2 linked regions of the Arabidopsis thaliana genome follow. The protein of the gene in region 2 interacts with the protein of the main gene of each other region in a pairwise test. Each region holds a gene or a part of one and is shown on either strand. Other genes may lie near its edges.

Evidence for each region. Proteins that work in one complex are often made in the same cells at the same time.
Region 1: the proteins of PAC (region 2) and AT2G21385 interact in a two-hybrid assay, tested with the Arabidopsis thaliana proteins (one large-scale study listed by BioGRID).

What each region holds. Positions count from the first base shown.
Region 1 is NC_003071.7:9,146,254-9,154,544, forward strand, and holds AT2G21385 (uncharacterized protein), read left to right. Parts: upstream 1-3,323; 5' UTR 3,324-3,472; coding exon 3,473-3,544; intron 3,545-3,631; coding exon 3,632-3,723; exon of another isoform or gene 3,724-3,838; coding exon 3,839-3,944; intron 3,945-4,048; coding exon 4,049-4,147; intron 4,148-4,239; coding exon 4,240-4,305; intron 4,306-4,393; coding exon 4,394-4,510; intron 4,511-4,646; coding exon 4,647-4,721; intron 4,722-4,819; coding exon 4,820-4,922; intron 4,923-5,010; coding exon 5,011-5,058; coding exon of another isoform or gene 5,059-5,134; coding exon 5,135-5,256; intron 5,257-5,406; coding exon 5,407-5,499; 3' UTR 5,500-5,717; downstream 5,718-8,291. Other genes in the region: AT2G21380 (Kinesin motor family protein), read left to right, coding at 1-67, 255-374, 488-538, 639-686, 810-947, 1,132-1,842, 2,318-2,459, 2,545-2,630; AT2G21390 (Coatomer, alpha subunit), read left to right, coding at 6,175-6,382, 6,788-7,282, 7,371-8,291.
Region 2 is NC_003071.7:19,677,721-19,683,906, reverse strand, and holds PAC (pale cress protein (PAC)), read right to left. Parts: upstream 4,178-6,186; 5' UTR 4,038-4,177; coding exon 3,932-4,037; intron 3,854-3,931; coding exon 3,777-3,853; intron 3,707-3,776; coding exon 3,512-3,706; intron 3,437-3,511; coding exon 3,350-3,436; intron 3,274-3,349; coding exon 3,223-3,273; intron 3,061-3,222; coding exon 2,881-3,060; intron 2,802-2,880; coding exon 2,556-2,801; 3' UTR 2,361-2,555; downstream 1-2,360. Other genes in the region: AT2G48121 (ribonuclease III family protein), read right to left, coding at 1,578-1,811. UniProt on the Arabidopsis thaliana protein: Required for the differentiation of chloroplast from proplastids or etioplasts, probably by modulating some chloroplast-encoded genes expression and mRNA maturation. Involved in leaf-cells differentiation.

The DNA.
Region 1 (8,291 bases), about 11 Mb from region 2:
CGGCACAAGCACACTAAAGCGTTTGGTGGATCAGTCCATGAATGATCCTGAAAACTCGAAAACCCAAGTAAAGATTCTTCTTTATCTATCTAGAGAATTATATACCAGTATGACTGTGGTCTCCCTAATTTCAAGTTTTAACCCTGAAAATCAGAAAATGCATCTCCAGATGCTGAACTTTATTAGCATTCCACTTTAAGCCATTTATTTACCTATAAGCATAACTACGGAACTTATTATATGCTGGCATGCAGATCCAGAATCTAGAAAATGATATTCAAGAAAAGCAAAGACAAATGAAATCCTTGGAACAGAGAATAACTGAGAGTGGTGAAGCTTCAATTGCTAATGCATCATCGATTGAGATGCAAGAGGTAACCTAATCTATACATCTTATATTTATGATCCTTTACCCTCTTAAGGTCATTCAGTTGTGGACACAGTGTGGATCAGCTAAAGGTATTACAATTATTTTTGTTGTTTTCAGAAAGTTATGAGATTGATGACACAATGCAATGAGAAGAGCTTTGAGCTGGAGGTAAAATGTCTCTCTAGAATGAAATGTCTTCTTCTATAGCGAATATGGAAGATTTCTCAAGTCAATATATATATTTAAATGTGTTCTACCTATGGATCAGATTATATCAGCAGATAATCGTATTCTCCAAGAACAACTACAGACAAAGGTCACTTCTAAGTCACGGACTCCTTTTATTCTTTTATTCTTTTTTATTTTTCATATACAGCATTTTCTTGTGGCTATTATCTCAGTCATCCTTACTTATATACACATGCTCTAACAACTGCAGTGTACCGAGAACAATGAATTGCACGAAAAGGTGCATCTTCTAGAGCAACGATTATCGAGTCAGAAGGCCACACTGTCTTGTTGTGATGTTGTGACTGAAGAGTATGTAGATGAGCTGAAAAAGAAAGTACAGTCTCAGGTAATTTCTCAAAATCTCAACCAATTTTGTCAAATTTGCGACCATGCATTCTCACAAGTATGCCTGAATCCTGATAAATATCTTCACTGGTTGCGAGGAGATTGTGAAAACACATATAATGATATATATGTTTAATGGACCTCTCATTGTATTTACATGAGCGTTTGATGTTTTCATACTTCAGGAGATTGAGAACGAAAAGTTGAAGCTAGAGCATGTGCAGAGTGTGGAGGAGAAGAGTGGATTACGAGTGCAAAATCAAAAATTAGCTGAAGAAGCTTCATATGCAAAAGAATTGGCCTCTGCAGCTGCTATTGAGCTGAAGAATCTAGCTGATGAAGTTACAAAGCTCTCGCTTCAAAACGCAAAGCTAGAAAAAGAATTAGTAGCTGCAAGAGACTTGGCAGCGGCAGCTCAGAAGCGTAACAACAACTCCATGAACAGCGCAGCGAACCGTAATGGAACAAGGCCAGGGAGAAAGGCAAGGATCTCAGACTCATGGAACCTCAACCAAGAAAATCTCACAATGGAATTGCAGGCAAGGAAACAGCGAGAAGCAGTACTTGAGGCTGCACTAGCTGAGAAAGAATACATAGAAGAAGAGTTTAGGAAAAAAGCTGAAGAAGCAAAGAGAAGAGAAGAGGCCCTTGAAAACGATTTAGCCAACATGTGGGTGCTTGTTGCCAAGTTGAAGAAAGCCAATAGTGGCGCCTTGTCAATACAAAAGAGTGACGAAGCAGAGCCTGCAAAGGAAGATGAAGTGACAGAGTTAGATAATAAGAATGAACAAAATGCAATCTTGAAAGAGAGGCAACTCGTGAATGGACATGAAGAAGTAATAGTTGCCAAGGCTGAAGAGACACCAAAGGAGGAACCTCTTGTTGCTCGTCTTAAGGTAAACCTTTTACAAATTTGCTTTCTATTTTCTTTCAGCATTCTTAGTTTTCTATAAGCCTACTCCACAGTCTAGCGGTAGGCAAATCTAGATATCCATTACCTGTTCGCTCCATATCCTTTATGCCATGACCTTCGGATCAGGCAACATATATTAAAACCTTCAAAACACCCAGAATATATGGTTCAAAATATGTAAATAGCTTTACCTGATCCAATATATTCTAATATCATGTCCTCCTATCTATAATACAAGTGACTGTTACGGATAATTAAGTCAAGCTACTTGTGGGTATTGAATATTTATCTGGTTTTTCGGGGACATGGAACTTGTGTACCCATGTGTGAGCTTCTATCTTGTACGGGTAATGAAAATCATGAATCATCATCTCACACGTTCAAACAATATGAGCTTTAATAAATAAAAAAACTACTTGTTTTCTTGTTCTGCATTTGATGCTTTATATACATAACAGGCAAGAATGCAAGAGATGAAAGAGAAAGAGATGAAATCTCAGGCGGCTGCAGCAGCTAATGCTGATGCAAACTCACATATATGTAAAGTCTGTTTTGAGTCGCCGACCGCCACAATTCTCCTCCCTTGCCGTCATTTCTGCCGTAAGTCTCACTCTCACATTACCTGAGGATCCTTCATTAAGTACTAAGTAATCCTAAAACGATCACAATCTCTCCTTTTATGCAGTCTGTAAATCTTGTTCACTTGCCTGCTCTGAGTGCCCAATCTGCCGAACCAAGATCTCTGATCGCCTGTTCGCCTTCCCGTCTTGACCTGCGGCAAGTATAGTCACTCTCCTACACACAGTATAAGGTAATTCCAATATTTCCCACCTTCACAAAATCTTTAAAATCCAAATTCTTTAGTTCAAAAACATTAGGCAATCTTTTTATTGAAAGACAATTGTATGTGATTTTGCAGGTATAAAGAACTATATGGAAGTCTGTTTGTTTGCTAACATTTTCCAGAACGGCAGGCTCGAATTCTTTTATTACAAGTTGTTTTTTGTTTTCTTGTATGTAATGTCTTTGTTATATCTTTCTGTTCAAAATGTGGTAAAGAAAGAGGAAACATAACATGCTAACAGAAAAATAGGAAACATATCATAGCCGTTTCATAGTAAGTTCAAAATTTGAAGTAAGTAATTAAAAATTATTTTGCTAATTCATGAAATTTGTGTACAGTTTTTTAGAAAAAACATACAGTTGTACAATGGAGAATAGTGTACGAATGCAACAGTGATACACAAGAACACCAAACTACACCAATTATCATCGATGAATTACTGCAAACCACACAAACCTTTGATCTCTTCTAACTTATATTGTAATTTTTAATTTTAATAATAATTTTTACTTAGTTATATCTATGCTAAATTCTTATTTTTTTTTAAGAAATTTAATACATACCGAATTTAATACACCAATAACACATGTAAATATTTTTGGATCAGAGTGGTTGTTACGGCCCAATGGATCTAGTGAGCCTAAATGATACGACCATATATTGTTTTTTTTTCGGTTTTCGCCAACGAGGATTTGGTTACCGAGAGTTTGTTTGAACGGTCCTCAGAAATTCGGAGCTTGTAGCTTCTCGGTGCGGTGCCTTCACTTTAATGGCGGCAATATCCCCTGTTCAATGCTTATTCTCTTGCAATTCTCATCATCATCATCAACAACGCGAGCAGGTGAATCTCTCTGTTCTTATTTCTTCATAATTAGCGAGAACTACCTTCTTCTTGTTATGACTTCATTCCTCCGTTTTTTTCAAGTAGAGTGGGTCGCTTTGGAGATTGGGTTCTAGGGTTTTAGTATCTTCGAGTCTATGGAAGCTTTCTCTGTTCTCTGGACTCCATTTGAACCGAAGGTGATTATGTTCTAGTTAACGATTTCAGTAGGATTTGGCCCTTGAAGCGATGATTCTGTGTAATGCAGTTGGATATGAGATAATTGATTGCAATCTTTTGGGTCTAATAAAACAGGAGAACTTTGATCTGTGCAGTCAAGGGAGATCCAGAAGATGCCTTTAAGAAGACTGTCGAAATCGATCGGATGATTGATGCTCTTAGAGATGCAAACCCTAGACAAGTAAGGAAACATGTCATATGCATCGTATAAATGTTGTGTTTTTGCTCTATTATCTTGAGTAAATTGAGTTTTGTTTTGTTGTTGTTGCCATTTTCATTGAACAGGTTGAGAAGATTGTTGTTGAAAATATCCTTGCTTTTGATGAGGTTTTTTGGATAAGACTAGCAGCTAGGTCGGATACTTGTAAATCAGAAGATGACAAGGCATGAGTTTATATTGTTTATGTCAATGATAGAGCAGACTTTTGATCTCTTTTGTTTCCGCTAATGCTTTGAATACGGTTTGTTTCTTACAGAAGGACTATGAGGAGTTAGCTACAACTGTGATGACTATAGTTGACTGTGTTGTGAATAAGACTCGGGTTTCTCTTTCTTCTGTGGTTTTATTGTCTCTTCTTCTTCAGCGTTTACTTAAACAGGGATAACTGAGAGTTCATTATATCCCTTTAGGAAAAGATAGAGACGTCTACTGATATTCTGAAAGGGATTTTAAGACCTGCTATAGATGGAGTGGAAGAGATTTCATGGCCGCCAAGAGATCCTGAAGCCATCAATCTAATGAAAAAGGTTTATACTAGTTGTTCTTCACTTTCTACTACATCTACACATTTTTTATATATACAACCTATATTCAGAAGGGTTATCTGGTCTTAGATTCTGTGATTTGATATCGTCATGGTTACTGAGATCAGTGTATTAACAGGAAATTATACAACGGGAAAAAGAAGGGCAATTAGATGAAGGATTTCTTTCAGAAGTTAATGCTCAGCTCCGGCAGGTAAGTGCTACAATTTGTTTTGTTTCACTTCTGAGGTCTTTCCTTTACAGTGAATAGATGTATTCTTTTGAATGTTTGAGGCTGACGATTGTTTTCAGGCAAAAGAAGATAAAGACAAACCAGGGTTATTGGCTATGCTGCAAAAAGTTCTTCAACTCTATTCTGCTACTATCCTCTCCAAGCGTAGCTACGCAAAGAAAGGTGATTTGCCCAATTTTGAAAACTATGCCAAGTCACTCTAAACCATTTTCTACGAACATAATCTCATCCACTATAGCTATTGTCACAGGGAACGAAGTTGTAAAAGCCGAGCATTTTCTTGAAACTCTGATCAAAGGTCTGTTCTGCAACCACTTTTCCATGTACTATAGACCCCAGCCAGACTTCACATCGGTTTATTATGTGTGTTTCAGCTCCTGAGGAACAATGGAACAAGCTTTTCGTAGACGGGTTAACAATCGGAAAAGGAGATATCACACCTGATGAGCTATCTGCTGTTATCAAGAAACGAATCGAGCGCACACTGATTCGAACTGTAAGTAACATACCATGACACATTTGCTTGCATTGTTATTATTCTCTTCAGGAGTGAATGCGAGGCTAACCGGGTTTTGGGTTGGGGTTTTAACCAGATATTGTTTTCTAAAATTCATCATTCTAACCACAACTATTCTGATCATACCAGGAAGGGGGTTCATACCAGCAGCGAATTTTGACCGAGTATCTCAAAGGAATCGAGTCCAGGGCTAATGAAATTATGAAATTACTCCAGGGTTAATGTCGTAAATCATGTATTTATCTATACATTTTTGTGTAATATCAGTTCAATAACCCCAATTAATATATTGTTTTCTCTCATGTAATAATTTTTTGATTGAGCATTTGAAGTGTTATCTGATTTAAAAATATGAAGCTCTGTAGTCAAAATTTTACAGATTTTAATTATCTTGGAATAAAAAATGTAAAGTTGATGCTTCCATATAAAATAAAAGTAAAAATGAGTAATTCATGCCAATTAAATTAGCGAGACGCAAATTGGAGACAGAGATAACTGAGCGGAGGGATTCAGATCTATACGACGAAACTGAATCTCACCGTCTTCTTCTTCTTCTTCTTCTTCTAGACGATCCTTGTGTTTCTCTTGCTCTCGCATCCACGCTTCTCTGGTAATGCTACTGATCGTCACCGTGAAGCTGAGCTTGATCGCTTCCCCTTGTGAACTGATCTGATCTGAGGTGAATCTCTATTTCTTCTCCTTCTTCATTGTACGAATCTCGATTTCTCGGATCTTGCTGCTTCTTATCGTTAGATCTGTTTTCAATTTCACGTGGATTACGTTTTTTTTCTTCCTTTTGCGGGTTTTTCGATTTCTTTGAACTGATCTTTCTCCATGATTTTCATTCTCTGTTGATCTGGTTTTTGTAGAGTTGTTTCTGTTTCGTAATCTGTGAATATGCTGACCAAGTTCGAGACCAAGAGTAACCGAGTTAAGGGTCTGAGTTTCCACCCTAAACGACCATGGATTCTCGCGAGTTTACACAGTGGTGTGATCCAGCTCTGGGATTATCGTATGGGTACTTTGATCGACAGATTTGATGAGCACGAAGGACCTGTTCGTGGTGTTCATTTCCACAACTCACAGCCTTTATTCGTCTCTGGAGGTATGCTTTGTTATTGGTAGGCCAATAAGTCTGTTTATTACACTTTCATGATCGATAAATCCTGATCTGCTTAAGTATTAACCCTTAGCTAGTTAGCTTCCTCGGTTCCTAGATCTAGCTTGGTCTCCCAACCTTTGTTTAATGGATGACTTAAGCTCTTATAGTCCCAGCTGGAGTAAATAATTTGTGTTTAAGTTACTTATATAACATATTGGATGATTTGGACCTAGTGCATTGAAACCAGATCTTATGGTACATGTTGCATAGTATTTTATTTGAACATAAGTAAGTACTCAAACAACTAGAAATGCAAATGGCTTGGATTCTTCTTCGTTACAGTTATAATGCTCTTACAGAACATTACTCATATGTAGTTGATGGCATTGATTACATTGGATGTTGCAGGGGATGATTACAAGATTAAAGTTTGGAACTACAAAACTCACAGGTGTCTTTTCACTCTTCTCGGGCATCTTGATTATATCCGCACTGTCCAATTTCACCACGAAAACCCATGGATTGTGAGTGCTAGTGACGATCAGACTATCCGCATTTGGAACTGGCAGTCTAGGACTTGTATTTCCGTGTTGACTGGTCACAATCATTATGTTATGTGTGCTTCTTTCCATCCAAAGGAAGATCTTGTTGTATCAGCATCACTGGATCAGACTGTCCGTGTTTGGGACATTGGTGCTCTTAAGAAGAAGTCAGCATCTCCTGCTGATGACCTCATGCGATTTAGTCAGATGAATTCTGATCTTTTTGGAGGGGTTGACGCTATAGTTAAGTACGTCCTTGAAGGTCATGATAGAGGAGTCAACTGGGCTTCTTTTCATCCCACACTTCCTCTCATTGTCTCTGGTGCCGATGACCGCCAAGTAAAGCTGTGGCGTATGAATGGTATTTCTTATGGATATCTGTCTTCTTCTTCACAGAAAGTTAATTTTATGAATCATTGAGGTACTGATGCGTTTCAATTTTGTTGCAGAAACTAAAGCTTGGGAGGTGGATACATTGCGAGGTCATATGAATAACGTTTCATCCGTTATGTTCCATGCAAAACAGGACATTATCGTGTCAAACTCTGAGGATAAAAGCATCCGTGTCTGGGATGCTACCAAGCGAACTGGAATCCAAACTTTTCGTCGTGAGCATGACCGATTCTGGATTCTTGCAGTTCACCCTGAGATTAATCTACTTGCAGCAGGACATGACAATGGTATGATTGTTTTCAAACTTGAGAGAGAACGTCCTGCATTTGCTTTGAGTGGTGATTCGTTATTCTATGCCAAAGATAGATTTCTGCGGTACTATGAATATTCAACTCAAAAAGATTCCCAAGTTATTCCTATACGGCGTCCTGGTACCCCAAGCTTGAATCAAAGTCCGAGGACTTTATCCTACAGTCCGACAGAAAATGCAGTCTTAATCTGCTCAGATCTGGATGGTGGTTCTTACGAGTTGTACATCATACCGAAAGATAGCGTTGGCAGGAGTGATGTTGTACAAGATGCAAAGAGGGGGACAGGGGGTTCTGCGGTGTTCATTGCTCGAAATCGGTTTGCTGTTCTGGAGAAAAGCACCAGCCAGGTGTTAGTGAAGAATCTAAAGAATGAGGTGGTTAAAAAGAGTTCTTTACCTATTCCCACAGATGCTATCTTTTATGCTGGGACTGGAAATTTGCTTTGTAGATCTGAGGATAAAGTGGTTATATTTGACCTTCAACAAAGGCTTGTTCTTGGTGAGCTTCAGACACCGTTTGTTAGGTACGTTGTTTGGTCTAACGATATGGAGAGTGTTGCTTTGCTCAGCAAACATACTATCATTATTGCGAGCAAAAAACTTGTCCTACAGTGCACGCTTCATGAGACAATACGTGTGAAAAGTGGAGCATGGGACGACAATGGTG
Region 2 (6,186 bases):
TTCACTCGAGGCTGTTTTAGAAACAAAGCGAGTAAATGTAAAATAGGCATGATTTTGTGGGTTTACCCCTACAGAAATCGACCACACGCGCTCAACGCGAGGTTCGTGCGAGTGGGCGTGGTCTGGAGCGCGTGACGCGAGATTGGTGCGAGTGGGCGTTGTCTAGTGCACTCTGATTGGCTAAAAAAATGAAAATAGTAGTGATGCTCCTCCTCTATTATTTTGTTTTTCGTCATTCTTCAGTTATGAAAGTTGTGTGGTTTTAAGATGCAATTGAGTTTATTCTGAGGTTTTTGGTTATTTTGAAATCATTGATTAATGTCACCAAAAAAAAATAGAAACTAGATTTTGAGATACTAAAATTTTCATTTTCATTTTGTTCTGCAACCATTGAAAACTAGATTCAGCTGAGCCCCTGAAGAAATCAAAGTGAGTTGAATATATTTCTAAAAATGTGAAAATTGGTAAAAGTTTGTCCTCATTTTGTTAGTTAATGTTTTCTTGACTTTAGGAGATGAACTTTCAACTGCAAAGATCCCATCACACATTAATCTCACTCTCTTCTGCACATTGCATGGTGTGGTGTAGCTATGGTTCCCACACAATTTGTCATATTCATTTACAACAAAGTTCATGAATCATGTTTGAAGTGAATCCTTTTTTTTCAAATTTAGTCATCTCTCGAGGAACTTTAAAGTTAAAAGAATAAGATAAAGCTTCTTGGAAATCTCAGCATTGCACTACCTTTGCTTGCAAATCTAGAATCTGGATTTTAAGATACTTACTCCAACACATATTATTATTACAGGCCGGTGCTTTTGTTCATGTTTGCACCAATGGGACTGTTTTGGTGACACATGGAGGTGTTGAAATGGGTCAAGGATTTGCATAAAAAGGTTGTGTCATTCCCCTTAGTCAGTTTTTGTGTCAGAATCAAGCACATACAAGGTACATCTAACTCGGTTACATGCACTCAGTGGACTTTTTGGCCAAGACAAAACTGATATTGTTCTCTCTTATCTTTTGTGGTCTCTTAATAGGTTCCAAATGCCTCACACACTGTTATTGCTCTCTTGTCGTTTTGATTGCCTCTTAATAGGTTCCTAACGCGTCACCTACTGCTGCTTCTGCGAGCTCTGATATGTATGGTGCTGCAGTTTTAGACGCTGTTGAGCAGATTATAGCTAAATTGGAGCCTGTTGCATCTAAACACAATTTCAACTCCATTCGCTGAGGGTAGCTTTAGAAGAGCTCAAGTGGGGAGATGCAGCTCATACATGGATTTAACCAGGAGCTTTACTCACTTGCAGACCTGGAAACTACAAAATACCTTAAGAAGAAACTTTACTCACAACATTCAGTTTCTCTTCTCAAGGTATGCAACCATAAGAAGAAGCTCTTTGAATTGGTAGCAACAAATTTGAAACTGATGAACCTAAGATTATACTGATGAAACTCATTTTGCTAGTTTAAAGTTTTCAACTTTTCACCAAAGGTAATGAAGTATTTAACTACATAAATCAAACCCAGTAGTATACTAAAAGACATTAGACAAATGAGAGAGACAGCTTCGATTTTCAGACAGCTTTAGGTTGGATTTGTTCGAAGTCGAAAACCTCAAACATGAGCCGCCGAACATCGGGTTTCCCGTAGATGGTGTAGGCGAGGCCGTGAATGGCTTGTTGAACAGCGGTTGTCGCCGGATTCCTAAGTCTCCGGTTATGTTCATACCGATCATGAACCTCCTCTGAGTATATTATAAAGTTGTGAAGACGTTTTTCTCTAAGATACCGGCCGCAGAATTTGTTCATTAATAGACATCTATGCTTCTCTTGCAACCACTTCCCTGGTGCGTCCAAAACGTTCAGCCATTGCTATGTCCTGCATGATCCCAAGACGAAAAATCGGGTTAAAAAAAAGAAAGAAAGAAAAGAACCGTTCTTTTGATCTTTTAAGATGAGAGATCGTTATCCTCACCTGTATCTTCTGTCCTACATATTCCAGCCGCTCAAAACAAAACCGCGGGTGTTCAAACTTATGCTTTGAAGGATGCAAGAAGCAGAGCTGTCACTTAAAATCTCATAGTATTGAGGCCCATTAGTGGCTCAACATGGCCCATTTATACGGGTTTTTTTGATCTGAGATCCAGAAATCAGTCGTTTTACTTGTATCATCGGAAAATGTTTTTTTAACCTCTACCTTCTTCGGTCAAGCTTCTCACGTCCATATCAGCTCCCAGACCGAAATTTATCAATGTCCCCTCCCTCCACCGTCTGGACACAGAGCGGTGGTTGAGGAGCTGTTAGGAGACTGGCGGAGTGTATCGTGGAACCGGAAAAGTAAAGGCCATACTATACTTTGAAAGAGGAAGAGATGATTGTGGTGGAGACTATGAGCAGAGAGATAGTCAGCAACATTTGGATTTGGAATTTTTAGCCAAAACCTATTATTTAGACTCCATTCATTTCTAAACAAAAACGCCTGAATCAATCTAACTCTAGGGTCTATCTTAAAAAAATTATTATGGCGTATAGATTGATATTCTAGTTAACTGCCTACCACTTCAAGTTGAGGGCTAAATCAAGAATGGCTTCAATTTGGCGGATGGTTCGTTGCTTCTCCTGTTGCTTAAACTTAAGTGCTATAGCTTCAGGATCAAGCCCTTCTCCTTTGCTACCAGTTGTAGCGTCTTCCTCTATCCTCACTTCCTGTAGCAGTGCATCCACTTCTCTTACAAAGTCTACTCTCAGAAGGGTGTTGTCTGTCTCAGTCTCAATGGGCGGTCGCAACTGTCCTTGATGCTACAAACACAGCATTGATTCTTGCTGTTGAGAGGTTTTTATCAATAAAAAAAAACAAAAAAGAGAAAAAGGGACGCACCATATCAATGTCGAATCCCGGTGGCATTAGAATGCTGAAGGGGTCTTCTCGGGGGAAGGTCTCAGCCATTCGTTTTCTGCAGTCCTTGAGCCAAGCATCGTCTTCAAAGCCATCATGCATATTTAGAAGATCATTCAGCAGTTTCATTGCAGGACTTGCTTGCCGTTTTAAGATCTCTGTCTGGATAGAGAAACACCCGATATAAGGATTCACTTTCACCTAAAGCTGACTAATACGAGTTGATAATCTTCCTTGACAAATGAGTAAGTTTGAAGATGGTGATATAAAGCATCAGCAGCTCAAGATCTTATAGCATAGAAAAGAATGAAGAGAAACAATTACCTCGACTCTTCTATACAAAAGATCAAGACTTCTGATGGCGTCCTTCTCATCCTGAAAGTAAGCAACACAGGATCTAAGGGAACATTTCATCATGAAAACGCATAACTCACAAGGAAAAAAATGTTACATCGCGCCTAGCAAGGTCAAGCCGGTTCCATATGATCATGAGGACAAGCTCGTCAAGTTCTCCTTTCTCGGCTGCTTCTTCAATTCTCTACAGAAATTGTCTTATACATAATAATAATAATTGCCTGCTTGTATAAGGAAGGAAGGGGACTTTGATTTTTACCTCTTCGACTTCCTCGGCAGCTCTGATGAAGCTGGAGACGAGCTTTCTGGCTTTCCTTAAGTCTTGCTCGGGAAATTCCTTCAACCTCGTGCCAATTTCACGGTATTCTTCAATCTTTCTCTCCTCTTCTTCTTCTTCCTCCCGCTGCATCCGCCGCAGTTCTTTGGTCTTCTCTCTCTGTCGAGCTTGCCATTCCTGGTATCAAAAAACCAACCGACTTAGAAAAAATCAGACTGAGAGACAAAAAAAGGATGAGGAGACGAACATCATCGTAATACTCCGGTGGCATTCCTTCTAGAAGCACTTCATCATTGTTTCCCGAGCATCTTCTTCGGAATTTAGCTGAGACATCGGCAGAGGATCATTTTAGATGAAACAAACTAATTTTGGATTTCACAAATTAAACCCCGCGAAACTGACCTGTAGAAATCGACAACTCTGTAGTCAGCTTCTTCGTAGCAGAAATAACCCGAGGGCTGCTGAATAGAGGGGATGCGCACGTCAGAACCAGCGACGTCGCCGCCATAGTCGAGCTTCGCAGTGAGTGGGAGTGATTTTGTTGCAGCCCCGAATCCCTTAGGCTATCTATATCTATTCGGATTTAGTCTCCCTAGTTTCGGATTTCACAAATTAAACCCCGTGGTGTAGCTTAGTACTAGTAGCTCAATTGAAAAATGTCTCAAAGAAATCTGAAAAATCTTGGCTTCATTTCCTTTCATAATCTAATGTTGTTTCCCCAGTCAGTGTCTGTGACACATAGCGAATCATGTTGCTCTAAATAATAAATATAATATACAATATAGACAAACAAAAAAAAAAAAGAGAGAGCTAATCTCAGGAACAAAAGTGATCATGATCACAGTTTAGATTAGTCGAGAAAAGAAAGTTGAAAGACGTCAAGCTAATGTTGATGGCAAGTCTCCACAATGAGTTCTGTAGCTGCACCCATTGTCCCAAGGCCGCCGGCACAAAGCAGAGCCAGAGCCAAGTCTTGCTCGTTCCACTGCCTCAGACTTTTGCTTAGTCTCTTTATTACTTCAACATCCACCTCTAGCACCCAAGCCGGCGTGCATTGCACCATCAGGCTCACAAAGCCTGTCACGTAAGCTTGCCATGTCGCCCAATCACAGCCCAGTGATATCTTCCCTTCCAAGGCACTCACCATAAACTCCAAATGCAGCCACAGAACCCTTGGCCGACGTTTTGATGCAGGATATGAGGAGTCCACTCCCCAGGCAAATGCACTGCTCAGGATTGCAAAGTAGGCTAAAGCATAGCCTCTTAGCATCGGAACCATACCTCCCAACTCATCTTCTTCTCCGTGAACCGAGATGAACCAAGACGGTAATGTCTCCTTGATCAGTGCCTGAACCAGGTTTAGGCCACCGGAGATCCACACCAGAGAGGCTCCCAGGGAAGCTGCCAGCTTGACACGTCTCATTGCTAAAGAAAGTGAAACCTGCCCAATCCCGTACCTCGACCCATCTTTCGTTTTCTTCAATTTCTCTGCTTGCCCTGCTGGTAGCTCCCTCGTGGCAATGCTCTTCACAGAGAACATCAGAAGAGACAGGATTTCTTCTGTCAGGAACATGACATCTCTGATCGATCTGTGCACTTTTATGTACAAGATTCCTGGGGCAGCTGTGGAAATTCCTCCAGAGTAACGGGACCCAAAGCCATGGCCAAGGAGTGCACCCACTCCCCCATAGCTGCAGAGTTGGGAAGTAGGTGTTAGACCAAGGGTGCAAGTGAAGCAGCTTCTGAGGAGCTGAATAACAGCATCTCTGTTGTGGTGGAACACAGTTCTGGAGGCTGAAAAGATAAGAAAGTCGCTCCAGCGCTTCACTTTCTGGGTCCACAGCGATGTCACAATAGGCATGCAGGGCCAGGGGCAAGCAGCAGCAAGGGAGTCTAAGGCCGGTCCTACAAGTACAAGGAAGCGCTCTGTTGCTTTGTCAAGCTTGTAGGTTATAGTAAGGCTCACTAGTGCAGCGAGAGGCAAGGGAAGTGTAGCCGCAGAGATTCCATCTGCAAAGACAGACGTGTGTAAACTATGAGAGTTTTTTCAGCATAATCATTGTATTCGTTTCTTCCAGCATGTTCTTTTCACACTTTCTCCGCAGTTTCAGTTTTATAGATATCACAATTGTTTACAAATCTAAGCAAGACCCTCCAGGGACATGTTATCCGGGACTGCCATGACTGCATCTAAGGTTCTAATCTTTCATGACAAAACCCCTGGACACCTGAGAATATCCATTATCCTTAGAGAAGAAAAGCATTACCTGCTGGAAGCCTTGGTACGTCAACGCCAGTAGCTGCTAAGATCTTCTCTATCTGTTGCTCAACGCTTGCTAAATTTGCAGCAGGACTAGGCCAGTCAGTTCCGTTCATGGAAACGGGCTTCCACAGACCTCGTGTTACTTCCGAAGAAAAGTAGCTAACCATGGTTCCAAGTGTTGCCGGCAGAAAATCAGCCAAGATTTTAAGACCTGAAACAAATCAAGGGACAGATTAAGATCTCGCCCACCCAACTATTAGCTACCTTCTGAAGTAGCGTTTATGATGCATCCAGACAGTAAGACAATAAAATAGCTTATGATCGTCAGATGTAGGTAAGTATCCCCTTGTCATTAAGCAGATAACACTTTCTATAGTTTCAGGGAATGGACAAA